Macaca mulatta: one gene and its partners. The protein of the gene in region 1 purifies or fractionates together with the protein of each later gene. This does not show direct contact. Links are inferred from orthologs where the notes say so. Each region holds a gene or a part of one and is shown on either strand. Other genes may lie near its edges.

Region 1 (2,546 bases):
AGCCTGGGCGACACAGCGAGACTCCGTCTCAAAAAAACAAAACAAAACAAAACACCAAAAAACCAAAACACATCTGTTGGGGCCAGTGCTGGCCATAGGGTGGGGAGATATAGTCCAGGATGCTGCTCCAAAAGGTGGTAAGGAAGCTGGAAGGCCGGGGCTCTGTGGGCAGGTGGGCAAGATCCACAAAACCCTAGGGAACGTTGACTTGGTTTGCAGATCACTACTGCCCTCTGGTGGTGATCAGCTTGGGCAACCCTGCTTCTGGAGGTTCAAGTAGGGACAGGGGAGTGGGTAGGTGAGAACTGAAGGTTAGAGGCTTTTGAGGCCTCTGGAGGAAGACTGTTCCAAGTGGTGGAACAGCATGTGTGAGGCGAGGACCCACGATGGCTGGTGGGCAAAGGACCAGAGAAGCACAGGCTCAGTCCCCAATAATTCCACCAGGTTTCCCTCCCACCTAGAAGAGATGAGCTGCCTGAACAGCCCTCCAGCAGCCCAGAGAGCATCTGAAATTCTTTATTGGAACATCATTGCTGTTTGCCAAATAGAAGACACAGACAGCAGACGAACAGTGAAAACAGAGCCCAGTGACCAGAGCTGGCCCCTTGGCTGAGGACCCTCCCCTACTACCTGGTGGACCAGCCTGGCAACCTCTGCCCCTCCCCGGACCCCCGGGCCTTTGGCATAATGCTGATGGGGGGCTGCAGGCAGTGAAGCCCCTTGACTCAAAGCAGAGACTTGAATGGGCGCTGGAGAGTGGGGACAGTGGAGAGGCCAGGGAGGGCTGGGCGGGCCCCCCGGGCTGGGCCGAGCAGCGCAAGTGGAGGAAGCCAGGAGCGGGCGAGATGGCATCTATCTGTTTTCTGAAAAGGGGCACATAGGGGCCTGGAAGCAGGTGGTGGTGGTAGCTGGGGCAGGTCACACGCTGACATCCTTCTCATCTCCCGTCTTGGGAACAGCCTCCAGCAGCGGGTCCCCAGGACCTGCCTCTTCTCCCTCCTTGGCCTCACTGGCCTTAGAGTTGGGGACCCAGAGGCCGGAGTCAATGCAGCGTTGCATGTGGTACTTCGCGTCCTGTGAGGAGAAGGGCAGGCAGATGAGGTGGGGCCACCACCCAGGGGTCCCCATTATCCCCTGCACATCCCCAAGCTGGCTTCCTGCCTATTGATATTTAACCAATTTATTTGAGATGGAGTCTCACTCTGTCACCCAGGCTGGAGTGCAATGGTGCAATCTCGGCTCACTGCAACCTCCACCTCCCAGGTTCAAGTGCCTCAGCCTCCCAAGTAGCTGGGGTTACAGACACCTGTCACCATGCCTGGCTGATTTTTTTACTTTTAGTAGAGATGGGGTTTTGCCATGTTGGCCAGGCTGGTCTCAAACTCCTGACCTCAGGTGATCCGCCTGCCTTGGCCTCCCAAAGCGCTGAGATTACAGGCGTGAGCCACCGTACTCAGCTGGAACTTTAAATTTTATTTAACTTTAATTTAAATTTAGATAGTGCAATCTAGAACAAAAGCCAGCAAATTTTTTTAGTAAAGGGACTGACTAAATATTTCTGCTTCCGCAAGCCATATGGTCTCCGTCACGACTCAACTCTGTGGCAGAGCAAGATCGGTTGTAGATGACAGTGAAACAATTGAGCATGGCTTCTTTGTTGCAATAAAACTTTATTATAAAGACAGGCAGTGAGTCTGGGAGCTGCGGTTTGCAGAAGCTGGTCTAGATGGCTATGCCCATAGAAGCTTCTAGAAACTCATGGCCAGTCCTGCAGCTAGACCCATTTTACAGACGAGAAAACCAGGGTGACCAACCAGTGAGCCAAGTGGTAGGAATAGGGTCAATCGTGTCCTACTTAGATTCAACGTCTATTGCCACTTCCAAAAATACAGCCAGTTAGACCTTCTTTATAAAAACATAATTTTTAGAAAAAAAATCAGTGAGATGTCATGGTGTCAGCCTATAATCCCAGGTACTTGGGGAGGCTGAGGTGGGAGGATCACTTGAGCCTGGGAGGTGGAGGCTGCAGCCTGGGTGAGAGAGGAAGACCCTGTCTGTCAAAAAAAAAAAAACAGATGGCCAGGTGCAGTGACTCACGCCTGTAATCCCAGCACTCTGGGAGGCTGAGGCGGGCGGATCACGAGGTCAGGAGATTGAGACCATCCTGGCTAACACAGTGAAACCCCGTCTCTACTAAAAAATACAAAAAATTAGCCGGGCATGGTGGTGGGTGCCTGTAGTCCCAGCTACTCGGGAGGCTGAGGCAGGAGAATGGTGCGAACCCGGGAGGCGGAGTTTGCAGTGAGCAGAAATAGCACCACTGCACTCCAGCCTGGGTGACAGAGTGAGACTCTGTCTCAAAAAAAAAAAAACAAAAACAAAAAACAGACAAAATCCAATTAACAGCCAGCATTTACCAGCCCCTGCCGTGTGCTCAGCTCCTTTCCCCACACGTTTTGTGAGCTGATATTGAGAGAAAATATGGTTTGCATAAGGAAACTGAGGCTGGACTCAGTCACAGTAACAGTGACTATCAGTCACAAGGG
Region 2 (4,043 bases), on another chromosome or scaffold:
GGACATGGACTTGGCCAGAGCAGGAAACAAGGGTGGCCGAGGACAAGTGCTGAGCCACCAAGTGGGCACAGAGAGGTGGGCATGAGGGCTCCCTGGGAGCAGAGCCCTTCCAAGGCCCTGAGGTCAGTCCAGGGACACCCTGGCCTCTGGGAGCTGCAGGGTTGAGCTGTGCATGGGCTGGGTAGGGTCAGCAAACAGCCAGTCACTGAGGGACTTTTAGCGCCCATTTTCCTGATGACTACATTTAGTCCTGGAAGCCACAAGCCAGGCGGGCAGCAGACTCGGCCGGCCCTCCCCCCAGCTCACTGGCTCCCATGGGCTCCGGACCCCCTTGGGCTTTGCCTGAAGATGGGAGCAGTTGGCCTTTTCCTTGTGAGGGTGGACACAGAAGCTAACAGTCATGTGGGGTAAGGGGACCCAGACACCCGCAGCGTCCCCCGCAGGGCAGTATCTTCCCCTCCTGGGAACCCACCTCACCAGTCCCAACCCTCCTCAGCTGGACTCTGAGCCCGCCCCGTGGAGCCTAGAACCTCGGGCCAGCTCAGGCTCTGCCACCAGCTCTTCGTTATTCTCCCTCAGAGCCGGGCTGCGCTCCCCAAGCCAGGGGTCTCCAGCCCCTGCCCTTCATTCTAGGCCGGGCAGGCAGCCAGTCCCAGGCCTGTGTCCTCCTGGGGGGCAGGGGTAGGGACCTCTCGGGGCTGGGCACTCAGGCGGCTTAGGTGCATGCGGCTCGGCCCCAGGTTAGTCAACGCAGCCTCTGCTCCTTGCCAGTCAGGTACGCAGGCCGCACCGGGCTGCCCCAGGCCTGCGGCGCACACCGGAGGCTCGGCCTGGAATGCCGCCCTGCCCTCCTCCACCTGAGGAATTCCCGCTCACACCACAGGGTTCAGCTCCGCGGCATCTTGGCGACGCCTCCTGACATCCCGACCCCCGCCGAGACCTCCCCTCTGAGCTCCTGAGCACAGCCTCAGGGGACCCGAGCTGCGCGCTGTGCAAACGGAAGCCTGCGCTCGCCCTCGGTGCGCCCCGTGCCCACCGCCCACCGGGCCGCCCCGCGGTGCGATTGGGGGCCTCGCCCGCCTGCCCCGGCTCCCACGCCCTCGAGACCGCCGGGCGCCCCCGCCCGGCCACGCCCCCTCGGATGCCCCGCTCCGCCCCGAGGGGGCGTGCCTTGCGCCCCGGCGAGTCGGGCGGGGGCCGGGCGGGAGCGGGGCGGGGCCGGGGCGGGGCGCGGACCGTCCCCCACTGGCTGCGGCGCGCGGGGCAACCCAGGCTCAGTGCGCGGTGGCGGCGGCGGCGGCGGTGGCGGCGTCGCGAGCAGCTGGCGCCGCGCGGTCCTGCTCTGCCGGTCGCACGGACGCACCGGCGGGCCGCCGGCCGGAGGGACGGGGCGGGAGCTGGGCCTGCGGACAGCGAGCCGGAGCGGGAGCCGCGCCTAGCGAGCCGGACTCCGGCGCCCGCCAGGTCGGTGCTTGGGTCCGGGCAGGCGCGCGGAGGGGTCCAACGGTGCGCGCGGAGGGGCCGGGGCGCGGCAGTCGCGGAACCACAGCAGTCCCTGCGGCGGGCCGGGCCGGGGCGCGGGCTTCCCGCTCCGGAAAGTTTGCCGCCGCCGCCGCCGCCCTGGGAGGGCTCTGCAGCAGCCAGGGAGGGAAGGGGGAGGAGGGAGGAACCGCGGCGGGGAGGAGGCGGCCGGCGCCAGGCGGCCCGGGAGCTCTGGGCGGCGGCGGCGGCGGGCGGGGCGGCTGGGGGTCGGAGGGGTCGGGGCGCAGGAGCCGGCCACCGCCGCTTTCGTCCCTACCCGCGCCGCTAACGAGCTGCCCTCCTCCTCCCGCAGTTTCCCAAGCGGCGCCCGCCTCCCGCCGGTGCCCGCGCCGGGCCGTGGGGGGCAGCATGCCCGCGTGCGCCGCCTGAGGACGCCGCGGCCCCCGCCCCCGCCATGGGCGCCCCTGCCTGCGCCCTCGCGCTCTGCGTGGCAGTGGCCATCGTGGCCGGCGCCTCCTCGGAGTCCTTGGGGACGGAGCAGCGCGTCGTGGGGCGAGTGGCAGGTAAGAAGGGACCCACTGGGCACGGGAGGGGCCGGCCCGTGCGGGCAGAGGCGTTGGGGACGGGAACCGGCCCCAGGTCGGAGGGAACTCCGGGTGTGAGTGACGCCCCGGGGTCAGCGCCCGGATTCCGCTGTCTCCGTCCCGGAGAGCGCGGCCAGCGGTAGCGCGGCGACTTGTGGGGCGCCTGGAGCCGCAGGTACCCCCCAAATGCGAGGCCGCCACTGGGAGCCAGGCCGGGGGTTGGCGTCCGCAGCCCCGTCCCCTGCGGCTCCCCAGCCCTGGCCTGTCGGGAGGGCGCGGGTTTCCCCATTTCCACGATTCCCGCTGTTCTTCGGGTTCTGCGCAGACGGAAAGTTCCCATTGTTGGCGTCCCCCTCCCCCGGGCCCCAGTTTGTGGCGAGCTTCGGCCAAGGGGAGAGGCCGGACTTCTGAGGGTGGGTGTGCGCGTCAGCGAAGCCCGGCCCCTGCCCGCCGGACGAGGCTGCAGCCTCCAGCGCCCCCGCTGCCGACCCTGCCAGTGCCTGGGGGCTGAGGGCGCTTCCCCGTGGGTGCGCGCCGAGCTCCAGGCGAGCGAGGAGCGCGTGTCCCAGCGTCGCGGGCCCTAGACCGGGCTGGCGGTCCAGGTCCTGCGGGACGTCAAGTGTCTGAAGGGAGGTGAGGGGAAGGGGCGCCCGGCCCGCCCTGCACGCGCGCCGCGGTTCCTCGCGGGTCGGGCCGAGAGCTCCGGTGCCGCCGCCCCGTACACGCTGCCGGCTCCGGGCGGGCGAAGGGGGCGCGCACAGCCCAGCCCGGCGGCCGCGCGGAGGGAGGCCCTGGCCCGGTGAGTTCGCGCCCCACCCGGGCCCAGGCCCGAACAGCCGCTCCTTTGTACCTCGGCGCGGCCACAGACCGCGCATTGATGGCGGCGCGGCGGCTCGCGGGGAGGTGTGAGCGGCTGCGGGCGCGGCGGGCCGGGGAGGGCGCCGGGAGGGCCGAGGCAGATGGCGGCCGCCCCGCCCGCGCCCCCGCGCCCCTTTCTCCGGCGGCGGCTGCAGCCTCCCGGAACAATGTCATTTTTTTTATGAATGAAAGTGGCCCGGCGCTTGAATGTGCGTGTCATTCAGCGGCGTGACAGGGGCCGTCGGGAGGTCAGCGCGCGCTTTTAGCGCCTGCTCGGGCGGCCCCGCTTCCAGGGGTGCGGGAGGGGCGGCCGCGGGGGGAGCCTGGCTTTCGTATTCTCATTCAGATAAAGATATTACTCCCTACGGCCCGGGAATGTCAGCCAGCCCCGGGGAGGGGCGGCGGCCAGGCTACAGAGCGTCTCCCGGATCCCCGGCGGGCGCGCGGGGCCTCCCCTTCTCGCCCCTGGAACGCCCCGCCCCCCGCCTTGGGGCGGCGACCCCGCCCGCACTGGAGCTGGTGAAACAGGTAGTGAGTTGATCGGTCAATAAATTTAATCCGGTTCCTTAACAAGATGGGCCGGGCAGTAAAAATACAAAGACCTCGTGAAATGGACTGAGGTCTAGGCTGGCGCTTGCCTGGGAACATAAATTATGGAGCCTTGGCTGGCAGTGGTCAAGGGCGGTGGGGAAGGTTTTGGCCCCTGGACTGCCCTGGCCACCCCAGGCCCTGCCAGGACAGCCGCCATCTCCCCAGAGGGCTGTGTTCCTGGTTGGAGCCTAGGGGGACCCCCCAGGGTGCAGGGAGGAAGACAAGGTCGGCTCTCCCACAGCGCCACACCCCCCAGCAGGGGTCTCGGGGTGCAGGGTCTTTCCTGAAGGTGCTGACTGAATCCTCCCCCACCCCTCCTCTGCCGGGCTGGACTTTGAGCCGCGTGGGCCTCTGGGTGGTTCATTAACCTGGGCTGAGCGTGGCCTCCAGGTCCTTGTGTGAGCCTAGGAACCCCTCGTTACTCACCCCCCAGCCCCCCAGCTCTCAGGTACTTGGAGCTGGAACTGGGAATGGGGCACCCCTTGTTACAGCTGAGCTTGGGTGGGAGTCCAGGGGCTTGGGGGTCTC
Region 3 (4,161 bases), on another chromosome or scaffold:
TCCTCCCTCCCACCCCAAACTCCACGTCCTGCAGGGGTCTTTCTTACCCGCCCATGGTATGTCCATCATAGGTGGAGTCGTTGAGGTACACAGCCTCAGATAAGTACATTGTCTGCCCCACAGGGGCGGTGTAAGACAGGAGTCCATCTGGGGCAGGGTGAGAGGATGGGGATCAGAGGCACGAAGGCTCCATCCCCCATCCCTGCATCAGGCCTGGGCAGGTTTCAGGTCCCTTCTCATATCTCTCCACTGGCACATTGGCATGGAGGAGACAATGCCAGCTAGCCCCCTCCTCAGAGTGACAGTTTCCCAGCAGGAGAAAGGGAATCCTGGATGCCCATTCTCCACACTCCCCACCCTGCACTCCCCTGCTCAGGAAACAGATTTCCAGGGAGCTGGGCCACTCACCCCTCCAGAGGCAGCCATAGAGCTCCACCCGCAGACAGACGCTCATGACCCGGTCAGCCCGGGGGTAGAAGCGAACCAGTCGGGCAACCATGGGGGGCCCAAGGTCCTTCAGCACTACTCCCTCAGGGTCCTCATTGCCTGAGATCACCTGTGGGCCAGGAAACGGGGTGTGTGGGAAGGGGTCCAGGTCAGATCTTACTTCCCAGCCACCAGCTGCTCCCTGGCCCAGCCCACAGTGGCCACTTAGAGACCCGTGAGGGGTGGCACCGAGCACACAGCACTGTGGGGCGCAGCCAGGCATGGGTGAAATGAAGATCTGCAGCTGAGACCTCTGGTCCTCTTGCAGCTCTGATGTTCTGTCCTCAGACTCCAGGCTCAGCTGCCCTCTTCTCCTTGTCTGGCTCCATCCATTTGTCTCCCAGCCTATCCTCCCATTGTGCCCAGATTCTCCCCAGTCCTCACAGCCCTGCACCCCTGCCTCAGCTTCCCCTTCATTTCAGCCCATTCCCTCTGTTTATTCAGCAGAAGGTGGGTGAGTGCCCGCTCTGTGCCAGGCACGTTCTCAGTGGTGAACGTCACTCCCCACCCTTGCAGGACTGAAATCCCAGCAAGGGAAACAGCTGCGAAGAACAAGAGGCAGGGTGTATGGACAGAGCAGTGCAGTGGGTGGCCAGAAAAGGCTCTCTGAGGAGGTGACACCTGGCGGAGAACCGAATGGGGTGAGGGAGAGCCTGTGGTTATTTGCGGGAGGAGCTTTGCAGGCACAGAGAAAACGTCCGGAAGCTGTGGGAACGAGCCCTGGCTTGTTCCAGCAACGAGAACGGCAGTGTGGCCAAGGAGGCACAAGGAGCCAGTGATGCAGGCAGGAGCCAGGTCAGGCTGAGCATCCCGCACCAGCTAGGGGCTCAGCTTTTGTTCTGGCAGAGTGGAAAGCCAGCACAGGGGTGTCGGCTAGGTGTGATGTATCTGATTTACATGCTTTAAGGTCCACTTGATGCAGCCCCCCAGGTGGAAATCTGGCTCCAGGCAGAAAAGGGCAGAAGCAGGGAGACCGATTTGGCATCTACTGCACTCATCTAAGCTGGAGATGGTGGGCGGGTGGCCTAGGGCAGTAGAGGTGGAGTGGTGAGGAGTGACTGGACTCAGGAACACTATGGAGGTAGAACGGACTGGGCTGCTGATGCTTTGGAAGGAGGTGAGAGAAAAAGAGGAATCAAGGATATCATCTTAGCTTATAGCCTAGGCAACCAGGCAATGGTGATACCACTTCCTGAGCTGGAGAATGCCAGGGGAGGAGCAGGTTTAGGTTAGGAATGGGAATCAAATTCAGCTTGGGAAATTAAAGGTACGTTTGAGATGCCTATTAGACATCTAGGTGGCTGACTACAATGCTTGTAATCCCAGCACTTTGGGAGGCTAAGGTGGGAAGATCGCTGAGCCCAGGAGTTCAAGACCAGCCTGGGCAACATAGCAAGACCCCATCTGTTTAAAAAAAAAAAAAAAAAAAAAGACATCTAGGTGAAGAAGTCCAAAAGGTAGCCAGGTTTGCAATACTGTTTGGAGCTCAGCTGAGAGGCTTGGGCTGGCGATTATATAAACTGGAGGGTCGTCAGTGTATAGGTGGTGTTTACAGTACAGCTGGAAGTGAGGAAAATCAACCTCCTCTGGGTGCTGCCTCTGCCAGCCTCACCTCCTGACCCCAGCGGTCCTTCCAGTCCATCCAGCGGCGACCGTCCCGGGAGTAACGCAGCCGGTAGCTCCGGGAGAACTCCTTGCCCAGGCCCCCAGCATGCCGTCCCTGGGTGCCCACCAGAGCCACCAGGTGCAGCCGTTGTAGATCCACCTGCAAGTACTCCTCCTCCTTGGGAAACACCGACCCTGCGGGGCACCAGGCCCCATCCCCGTCACTGCTCTCCAACCTGAGAGGGTGAAGAGGGGCACAGAGAACATCTGGCCCCAGGTCTGCCTCTATCTCCAGTACTTAAACCCCACTTCATTCGCCCCTCAGACTGCAGGGCTTTCACTGGCATGGGCAGAGGGGTTGGAGGGGAAGTAGAGGTCCCAGGGGCTCCCCTCGGGGCAGCTGCAGGTGTATCAGGTGTGCCAAGTACCTGCTGTGGCGGGCGGCAGTGGAGTCTGACCAGGAGCTGGAAGCAGAGATGTCACTGTCTGGGATGGTCCGGTCCTGCATGCCCAGGGCATAGCGGCACTTGGCTGAGTAAAAAGCAGGCATGTAACAGGTCAAGGCCCCCAAATCTCTACCTCCCAAGCCCTGGCCCTCAGGGACCCATGATTCAGTCTCCTCACCAGGATCAAAATGTCCCTTCATGTCAGCATCTCCACTTGCCACCAAGAGCAGCAGCAGTAAAGACGAGAGGGCCCCTGGCCCCATAGCTCCTGATCCCTCGGGCCTAAGGGGGTGGGGGCAGCATCTCTGCAGGGGATAAAATGGGTGGTGGGTAAGTTAATCAGGGGACTGAGTCATAGCTGACAGCAACAGACAGAATGGGCCGCTTTGGGGATAATAACAGTAAAACAACAACAACAGTCATTGTTTAACAGCATCAGCTGTATTTTTAGAATGCTTCCCCTGTGCCAGACACTGGCCTAAACCCTTAAACAGAATCCATAATTTTATCTTCACAGTCACTTCATAAGGTAGATACTATTACTATCCATATTTAACACATGAAGAAACGAGGGCAGAGATCAGTTAACTTCCTGAAGCCCCATTTCTGCAATCAAGAATGGGCAAAATACTCCCATAGACAATGGCTTAGAACAAACAAGTGTGCAAAAAATGTTATAACACACACAACAGGAAAAGGTTTAATAACTACAGTAAACTAAGGCCCCTTAGGAACTGACAAGAAAAAATATATAAGTAACCCAATAAAGAAACAACCAAAGAATTTGAATAGTCATTTCACAGAAAAGCAAAGCCAAATTGCCAACATTTTTTTATGGTCAAATTCACTAGCCTCAGGGAAATACCACGCAGATTGACTAGATATTTTTTTAAGGCTGTAACATATAAAAGTGGTGGAGGGTGAAGAAAAGGGAGGCACCATGCTCAATGGCAGAAATGTAGTGTTATCCTCTATTAGGAAAGGGATCTAGCAATGTCTATTATAATTTAAAAAGCACATCCTCTTCGACCCAGCATTCCCTCTCCTAACGATCTACCCAAATGGGGAGACAGAAGCACCAGGAAGAAAGAACATATGTGCAGGGCTGGGTCTGGTGGCTCATGCCTGTAACCCCAGCACTTCGGGAGGTTGAGATGGGAGGATCACTTGAGGCCAGGAGTTAGAGACCAGCCTGGTCAACATAGCGAGACCCCATCTCTTTAAAAAAAAAAAAATGAAAAAGAAAAAAGAAAAAAAAGAAGATGCTCAAAGATGTTTATTATGGCACCTTTTGTGAGACATAAATCTGTAAGATATGTGAATGCTCACAGGGGACAGGCTGGAATTAAAAAATAATAATAATAAGGTTTATGGACTACTCTGCAGCTATGAAAAGTAACAAAGAGGCAATAAATTCCTAACTTAGTGTAATTTCCTTGTGTATCTGTTGAATATGAAAAGCAACCTACAGAAGTATAAAAAATTATCCCACCTTTTGAAAACAGAACAAGCACCCATGTTTGTATATATATCTGTGTGTATGTCTACAGGTAAAGAATATATAATAGAATATAAAAATAGAATATAATATAACACGAGTTAACATGAATGGGGCAAAAGAAAA
Region 4 (3,973 bases), on another chromosome or scaffold:
CAAGTTTTCTTTTACTCCATTGTAGAAGGTTTTAAAGACTTTTTTTCTCCAAAAGCTCATTTTCACCTGAAATAATTGTATTCAAGGGTTTCTCAGCAGGTAAAGTATACATTCTTACAAGGTTTCAAATTTCAGATTTCCAATAATGCATTTAAACTGAGCACTCCTCTTTCTGTGTATGTATCTATTATCTGCAGTTCTATTATTTACACTAAATTTTAGTCTTTTTAGCTCCTCTGAAATACGTTAGTGAACCCTCAGCAGTTACTAACCACTTAATAATTGTGAACCCGCCAGCCCCTTCAAGTAGATCGTTAACCATAAGAGTGCCTGACAATTTCCAAACCATACCCTCTGTCTAAAAGGAAAAGATAGGGCTTTGTGAGGCAGAAAGGAAGCGAAGGAAAACAAAACAAATGTAGCTCATGCTGAAAGTGAAAAGTGCTTGAACAGATTAGTATTTTCTTTTCTGCAAGGCATCCTGCCAAACTTTTTCTTTATTTTTTTAAGAGAAGAGTTATTTTTTGGTCTGATTTTTCAGTTTCTTGGAAAGTATTGGTATTTACCACCCCCATCGGCCCTTCATAATTATTGTTAGTTGTTTTGTGTTTTTCCCATCCGTCCACGTCACACAGTGAGGATACCCCCTGCTTCACCCTGTCAAAACCCCAACTCTGGGCGACCCTGGGTTTGGAAACTCCGCCGACTCCCGACGACACGTCCCACTCTCTCCCACTAACGCCGCTTATTTTAGTCGCAGGATCCCCCTACTACAGTTTCAGTGAAAGCCGGAAATTTTCATTTAACTCCCCTGCCCCCCCAACCCCCCCGCCCCGCGCCTTTCTAGCCCCCGACTCGTAGAAGGGAGCTAGGGAGCCCGGAGCTCGGAGCACTGCCGGGGCTTGGCCGCCTCCTTTCTCTCCGGAAGGCTTTAATTTGCACACTTTCTTGCCACTGCGCCACGAGCCCCCAGCCTCGCCGCTGGGTGGGTCTCCGGCAGAGTTGGCTTCTCGGGTCCCTGCCCCCACCCCGCGCGGTCGCCCCCGCTGCCTCCCTGGCTGGGGCCCCCAGCGCCGGCCAGAGCCCCGCGGCCCCCGTCCGCCCCCAGCTAGCGGCGCGGGCGGCGCCCTCCGCCTTCCCTCCGCCCTCCGCCGCTGTGCCCACCCCCTCGCCGGAGAGAGTGCTGGTAACTCCTTCCCCAGAGTCTGATTACCTGCTCCGCGAGGCCGCGGACACGTGCGGAGAGCCGACTGACACTCGCAGCCCCCTCAGGAGGCCCGACGCGACTGGGCCCCTCAGGTGAGGAGCTGTGCGCTCGGGTGGGTGGGCTGCGGGGTGGGGGGTCCCTGGGGAGATATGGGGGATTGGCCGGGGTCCGAGGCAGAACTGTGGGTGGGGTAAGTGGAGGCTGGCGGGGGGTGGGGGGGACCTGTGTTTCCCTGGAATCGGCTTTGGTTAACCCCTTACGAACTGAGACGGCGTTGGTTATGGGGGCCAGTTTTGGGGAGCTAGAGGATTCTAATCTGACGAGAGGGGGAGATCCTACGCTAGGGACACCCGCGACACCGAGATCCTGCTTCCACGTACCCGTGCGCACACACACTCACACAGAACACTCCTCATCCAGTTTCTCCAAACGGAACTGGAACTCTACTCGGACATTCACATAATAATTCACATTTAGGGTTCAAAATGCACTGCCTCTAGGGACTCCATGCTGGAGAATGTGCTTGCATTTCCCCCACGAAAACTCCCTCGCCAGCTCGCTGAGGTGTGGGTGTGGGCTCCACCTTCCCCTCCACGAGATAAATGTTAACGCAGGCTTCCTGCGGGCGTGTTATGCACAGAAGAGTGCACGCAGCCGGCCGGTGCCCAGGCTTGGAGCCCCACGAAGACGCACGTTTGCTTTAGTTTCCAAGTTTACTTTTATCATTTAAAATATTGGAGTTAAACACACGCCCCGTGGTGAGCAGCCCTTGTCCCCGCAGGGCGCCCGTCCGTGTGCATATGGGCGCATCTGCGTGTGCGCACACGCGGGAGTCGCGGTCCCCGGTGTGGCCTCTTGTTGCCGTGCTGGTGGCGACCCTTGTGGTGCTTGGCAGGCTTCGGGAGAGGCGCATGAAGGATTTCATTGAGTGTGAAGACAGAGAGCAGAGACAGAAAGCAGAAGGAGGCGGCTGCAGCCTTTGTAGTCGCGGAGGAATGCGGAAATGTTGAAGCACTATGTCAAACTTTTTTTGAAATGGGGTCAAGTCACATTCAGCCAGCGTGGGAAAGCAACAACAACAACAAAAAAAAAGTGGAGGAGAGGGGGGGAAAAGGCATTGCTGCTCCCGTTTCTCTCCGCCGAAGCCGACCGTCTGGGGGGCGAGTGGGGGGAGAGTCAGGGTAGTGCGGGGCCCGGCGGGGGCAGCAGGCGAAGTTCCCTGCGGGGGTGGGACGTCCCCGACGCTTCCTTCGCTGCGGAGCCCGGGGCTAGACTCGAGCGGGAGGGGGATGGGGGGACGCAGGAGAGGCGGGTTGGGCGGCCGGCGGCGGCTCCCCGGCTACCTGTGTGGCCCTCGACCTGGCTCAGACGCCCGGGCAGTCCTTGGGGGCTCTTTCCTCGGCTTTTAAGGAAAGTTCTGAATGGAGTGAGTGCCAGAAGCACTGCTTTCGCCGCGGTCCGCTCCACGCGCTCATCGTGGGGGTCGCGCCGTTTGTTTAATTCCTGGCAAAAGGCGAGCGGGGCAGCGGTTGCGAGGCAGGTAATTCCGAGGTGCCCCGGGAATTCCGGACACGCGGCCAGCGTGGTGAAAGTCCTGCCGAGGCCGCGGCGGCCGTGGGGGAGGGAGGCTCCCTAGGTCCCAGATAGCTGCTGAATGGGGAGGGAAAGTTAGGGTACCCTTCTCCGGCGCTTTGTTATGCAGAGGGCTCCGGGGGCGTCCGGCTGCAGCCTGGACCCGGCCTTTAGCCGGAGAGGGAATGGGGCAGCCACCTCCGCTACCTACAGCGGGGTGGTCCTGGGAGTGGGAAAAGGTTCGCGAGTCCGGGCCCCGAGGGCAGAGACCTTGTTTCTCACCCCTGGAGGCGCAGGGTTTAACCCCCCACCCCCCACCCTTTGAAAGAGAGGTTGAGTTTTGCTCAGGTCGAAATCAATTTAAAACTTCAGGACGAGGCGCGATTAAGCTATCCTCTTCCTGAAATTATTCTTTAAGAAGACGACAAGCGAAATTGTGACGAACACCCCTTTCTCCCACCCTTGGGATCCCGTGGGGGACAGTGTCTCCCCTCCCCCAGGACCTCTCGTTCGCCCACCCCCGATTAGCCCCAACCCTCCCCGACCAGATGGCTGGTCTTCCCAAGGTTTCCACCAGGGAGGTCCTCCCAGTCGGAGAGAGAATTCCGTTTCCAACCGAGACTCCTTTACCCCAAAGAGACCATTTGTGTATGCGAGTCGTTTTTAAATGTCTCCTCGTAGAAAAACTGAAAGTAGAAAGAAAGGAAGCAATTTCTGAGCAGATGTCTGACCACCCCTTCTCGCACACTCACAGCATCGGGTTACAGGGTCCTGGGAGCCCCCACCCACATTCTGCGGCCCCACACGGATGGACCCACAGTCCTTCCGCTCCAGCTTGTGCGCGACCCTTGAACGCCCTCCGGCACCCCTGGACCCCATCTCCCTGCACGTCCGGGCCTCAGGAGGCGGGGAGGGTAGCGACGCAACACAATGATATAGGGATAAATATTAAGCCGTGACATTGACGTGCCCGGCGCCTCCCCTCCCCCGCGCTCCCGGCACACTCTGGGCTGCTCGGCACGCCCCCTCCCGTTCCACTGCGTCCCGCGCCGCTCGCTCATCCCCGAGGGGCCCCTGCAACCTCTCCGCGCGAAGACGGCTTCAGCCCTGCAGGGAAAGAAAAGTAACTTCGCTTTTCTCGGAGGAACCAGGAAGGATTAAGCGGCTTGGGAGAGGGCAGGAGCGCGCGGAGGG
Region 5 (3,990 bases), about 4.0 Mb from region 1:
TGAGCCACCGCGCCCGGCCACAAAATAAATTTCTAATTTAGCAGCAAGTGCTCTTGAGAGGGCAGTAAAGTGAAGAAGGCGGGACTGGGAGGACCTCGGGAGGTGAGCTTTCGCCCAGATCCTCACCTCGCTTTAGGAAGGGAGAACAGAGGCAGTCTTCTGTCCCAACATCCTTCTCCCCACAGTTGGGAAAATAGCGCTGGTGGATTCCTTGTTTGTTCATTTTGTTTTATTTTACTTATTTATTTATTTATGTATTTTATTTTGAGACGGAGTCTCGCTCTGTCGCCCAGGCTGGAGTGCAGTGCCCCGATCTCGGCCCACTGCAACCTCCGCCTCCCCGATTCAAGCTATTCTCAGGCCTCAGCCTCCTGAGTAGCTGGGATTACAGGTGCGTGCCACCACGCCCGGGTAATTTTTGTATTTTTAGCAGAGACGGGATTTCACCATGTTGGCTAGGCTGGTCTCGAACTCCTGACCTCAAGTGATCCGCCCACTTCGGCCTCCCAAAATGCTGGGATTACAGGCGTGAGCCACCGCGCCCGGCCTGTTTGTTTATTTTAAAAAGAAACGGAGTCTGCTTATGTTGCCTAGGCTGGTCTCCAACTCCTAGGCCCTAGAGATTCTCCTGTCTTGGCCTCAGGAAGTGATGGAAATTACAGTCGTGAGGCTCCGTGTCAGGTTCTCTTATTGCCATATTGTAGAAAGAAAGAGACCCCTGGGTTAAGCAGACGCGGGTTAGGTTGTTCGTCCGGCGTCACCCGGCGGAGGCCCACCGCAGGTCCCGCGAGACAAGGGCTGGAAGGTTTATCACCTCCTGGGGAAAAGACAGGCTAGTCCCAGGCCCCACCCCTTCCCGGAACATCACCTTCGCGACGGCTCCTGACCCACTGACCCAGGCGGAGGGCGGGACGCAGGGTCGCTGGGGCGGTGCAGAGTGTGAAAGAAGCTCGCGATTGGCTCGTCCCGGAAGGTGGGCGGGGCCTCCTCCGACCTGTGCGCGCGCCGCCGGGAGGCGTTGTCGAGGGCGGAGCGGGAGGGGGCGTGGCCCCGCGCCGGCGGCCGTTGACGGCAAAGCCCCGCCCCGGATGTCGCGTGTCACGGAAAGGGTGGCGGCGATTGGCCGGCGCCGCGGGCGGGGGGGCGGGGCGGAAGGTTCTGGAGGGGGCTGGCGGGCTCTGGAAGCTTCCGCCGGACGGGTATATAGAGTCCGGGACCGGGCGGCGGCGGAGCCGGGGGACGGCGACAGCGGGTCGGCGGGCCGCAGCGGGGGGCCATGGGCAAAGACTACTACCAGACGCTGGGCCTGGCCCGCGGCGCGTCGGATGAGGAGATCAAGCGGGCCTACCGCCGCCAGGCGCTGCGCTACCACCCGGACAAGAACAAGGAGCCCGGCGCCGAGGAGAAGTTCAAGGAGATCGCCGAGGCCTACGACGTGCTCAGCGACCCGCGCAAGCGCGAGATCTTCGACCGCTACGGAGAGGAAGGTGTGTGCGCGCGGCCAGGGGCGCGGTCCCGCCGTTTGACAGGGAAACCGAGGCATACCGGCCCCTCTCGGCGGCCCCCCGGGAAGGACGCCCCGGGCCCGGGGGCCGAGCTGCCCCGCCCTCCGGCCGCTCGGGCCTCCGCCCTTGGATTGGCGGCCGTGCGGTGGGGGGAGGAGCCTTGGCCCAGCCGCTCGCCCAGAAGCTTCTAGCATGTCTAAGGCTGCCCCTCCCCGGGCGCCTCTTCCCGCGGCCCCGAGCAGCCCCGGGGTGCGGTGCAGGGGGGTGGGGGAGCCGGGGGTGACGACGGGGACGGCACGGCGGAGCCTGCTGCGGACCCGAGCTCACCTGGGCTTAGCCGCCGGGGTCCGCAGGGCGGCGCCTGCGGCTCAGCTGCGGGGCGCGGGGCTGTAAATGCAGGCGCCGACCCCGCTCGCGGGCCTTGGGGCTGGGCTGGGATGATTTCCGGGAAGTGATGACCTGGTCCCGGCCGGGCACGCAGGAGGCAGCGGCCGCCTAGGTGCGGAGAGCTGGGCCGCCTGGGGGTTTGGGGGGACGGAGAGTGGGGCTTTTTGTCCCTGTGCCCCTTGATGACTCAGGCTGGCTTCTGGGCTTGATCTGGGACTGACTTATTATGCAAGGATGGTAGCAGTGAATGCTAGTGTGAGGGTTTAAAAACTCTACATCTTTTTTTTTCCTTATTTTCACTCTTCGTACACATCAGTAGTCCTAAAATGTTGAAAGTAAATACCGAAAGCCGACCCTGGACCGTGTGTGTTTAGCCATCCCTTGGTGACATTGCCAGGAGGATGGGTCAGTCCAGGAGTGGCAGGGCCCAGGTGGCACCTGTAGGTGGACACCTAACCGCATGAGTCCTTTTCCACTGTCAGGCTATGCGGAAGTACTTGGTGGGGGGGGGGGCAGCTCTGCTGCTGCAGTGAGGGGTAGAAGCTTGGGGTTCTTCCTTGCTCTCCCCTGGCAGGCTAAAAAAAGTTCCTCCCCCATGGCTTCCAAGCTTTTTTCCCCCGTAAGGGAAGCTCGAGAGGGAGTCTGCTGTTCAGCCATCTGACTGCTTCTAATTCTGCTTTTCAGGCCTAAAGGGCAGTGGCCCCAGTGGCGGTAGCGGCAGTGGTGCCAATGGTACCTCTTTCAGCTACACGTTCCATGGAGACCCTCATGCCATGTTTGCTGAGTTCTTCGGTGGCAGAAATCCCTTTGACACCTTTTTTGGGCAGCGGAACGGGGAGGAAGGCATGGACATTGATGACCCGTTCTCTGGCTTCCCTATGGGCATGGGTGGCTTCACCAACGTGAACTTTGGCCGCTCCCGCCCTTCCCAAGAGCCCACCCGAAAGAAGCAAGATCCCCCAGTCACCCACGACCTTCGAGTCTCCCTTGAAGAGATCTACAGCGGTTGTACCAAGAAGATGAAAATCTCCCACAAGCGGCTAAACCCCGACGGAAAGAGCATTCGAAACGAAGACAAAATCTTGACCATCGAAGTGAAGAAGGGGTGGAAAGAAGGGACCAAAATCACCTTCCCCAAGGAAGGAGACCAGACCTCCAACAACATTCCAGCTGATATCGTCTTTGTTTTAAAGGACAAGCCACACAATATCTTTAAGAGAGATGGCTCTGATGTGATTTATCCTGCCAGGATCAGCCTCCGGGAGGTAAGGTGCCAGGTGGGGCGGTGTCTGCAGAGCGCGATGGCTGCTCTTTGAAGCAGTTTATTTAGGTTTTGCTGAACACGCATTGGGTGTGTGGCGCTTGCCAGGCTTGGGGCACCACAGTGAACAGGAGTGATCAGGGTGCTGTTCTGGAGCTTTCATGGTGGAGACATGTCGATTTGGGGGCCAGGTGTTGGCTGCAGAGGCCTGATGAGTCTTACTCTATGCCAGATGGTCTCCGGGCAAGAGCTGAGCCTCTTGAGCCAGCTTCCATCTAATGCTTATCCCTTTGCTTTTCAAGGCTCTGTGTGGCTGCACAGTGAACGTCCCCACTCTGGACGGCAGGACCATACCCGTCGTATTCAAAGATGTCATCAGGCCTGGCATGCGCCGAAAAGTTCCTGGAGAAGGCCTCCCCCTCCCCAAAACGCCCGAGAAACGTGGGGACCTCATTATTGAATTTGAAGTGATCTTCCCCGAAAGGATTCCCCAGACATCAAGAACCGTACTTGAGCAGGTCCTTCCAATATAGCTGCCAGAGCTCCGACTGACCAGGGACCTTTCCAGAGCTCAAGGATTTCTGGACCTTTCTACCAATTGTGGACCATGGGAGGGCCCAGGGAGGACTTTCATACTGCTGAATGTTTTCCAGAGCATATATTACAATCTTTCAAAGTCGTACACTAGACTAAAGTGGTTTTTCGAGCGATAGGGCATCAGGTGGTGGGAACAGCAGGAAAAGGCATTCCAGTCTGCCCCACTGGGTCCGGCAGCCCTCCCGGGATGGGCCCACATCCTCCTCCTCCAGTCCCTGTCCAGGGGTAGAGGCAGACCAG

The links.
Region 2: the proteins of CDC37 (region 1) and FGFR3 purify together in Homo sapiens (affinity purification with mass spectrometry; 4 studies listed by BioGRID and IntAct, with this or other methods). This does not show direct contact. The link is inferred for Macaca mulatta from reciprocal best matches to the Homo sapiens genes CDC37 and FGFR3.
Region 3: the proteins of CDC37 (region 1) and DDR1 purify together in Homo sapiens (affinity purification with mass spectrometry; 3 studies listed by BioGRID and IntAct, with this or other methods). This does not show direct contact. The link is inferred for Macaca mulatta from reciprocal best matches to the Homo sapiens genes CDC37 and DDR1.
Region 4: the proteins of CDC37 (region 1) and CDK6 purify together in Homo sapiens (affinity purification with western blotting; 5 studies listed by BioGRID and IntAct, with this or other methods). This does not show direct contact. The link is inferred for Macaca mulatta from reciprocal best matches to the Homo sapiens genes CDC37 and CDK6.
Region 5: the proteins of CDC37 (region 1) and DNAJB1 purify together in Homo sapiens (affinity purification with mass spectrometry; 3 studies listed by BioGRID and IntAct, with this or other methods). This does not show direct contact. The link is inferred for Macaca mulatta from reciprocal best matches to the Homo sapiens genes CDC37 and DNAJB1.

What each region holds. Positions count from the first base shown.
Region 1 is NC_133424.1:11,120,033-11,122,578, forward strand, and holds the end of CDC37 (hsp90 co-chaperone Cdc37), read right to left. Parts: intron 1,075-2,546; coding exon 919-1,074; 3' UTR 501-918; downstream 1-500. UniProt on the Homo sapiens protein: Co-chaperone that binds to numerous kinases and promotes their interaction with the Hsp90 complex, resulting in stabilization and promotion of their activity. Inhibits HSP90AA1 ATPase activity.
Region 2 is NC_133410.1:1,910,164-1,914,206, forward strand, and holds the start of FGFR3 (fibroblast growth factor receptor 3), read left to right. Parts: upstream 1-1,243; 5' UTR 1,244-1,464; intron 1,465-1,834; 5' UTR 1,835-1,936; coding exon 1,937-2,045; intron 2,046-4,043.
Region 3 is NC_133409.1:152,164,634-152,168,794, forward strand, and holds the start of DDR1 (epithelial discoidin domain-containing receptor 1 precursor), read right to left. Parts: upstream 2,801-4,161; coding exon 2,716-2,800; intron 2,623-2,715; coding exon 2,520-2,622; intron 2,328-2,519; coding exon 2,099-2,327; intron 557-2,098; coding exon 409-556; intron 148-408; coding exon 48-147; intron 1-47. UniProt on the Homo sapiens protein: Tyrosine kinase that functions as a cell surface receptor for fibrillar collagen and regulates cell attachment to the extracellular matrix, remodeling of the extracellular matrix, cell migration, differentiation, survival and cell proliferation.
Region 4 is NC_133408.1:126,535,343-126,539,315, forward strand, and holds the start of CDK6 (cyclin-dependent kinase 6), read left to right. Parts: upstream 1-1,173; 5' UTR 1,174-1,299; intron 1,300-1,952; exon of another isoform or gene 1,953-2,747; intron 2,748-3,810; exon of another isoform or gene 3,811-3,972; intron 3,973-3,973. UniProt on the Homo sapiens protein: Serine/threonine-protein kinase involved in the control of the cell cycle and differentiation; promotes G1/S transition. Phosphorylates pRB/RB1 and NPM1.
Region 5 is NC_133424.1:15,127,969-15,131,958, reverse strand, and holds the start of DNAJB1 (dnaJ homolog subfamily B member 1), read left to right. Parts: upstream 1-1,190; 5' UTR 1,191-1,276; coding exon 1,277-1,487; intron 1,488-1,633; exon of another isoform or gene 1,634-2,004; intron 2,005-2,576; coding exon 2,577-3,157; intron 3,158-3,455; coding exon 3,456-3,686; 3' UTR 3,687-3,990. UniProt on the Homo sapiens protein: Interacts with HSP70 and can stimulate its ATPase activity. Stimulates the association between HSC70 and HIP. Negatively regulates heat shock-induced HSF1 transcriptional activity during the attenuation and recovery phase period of the heat shock response.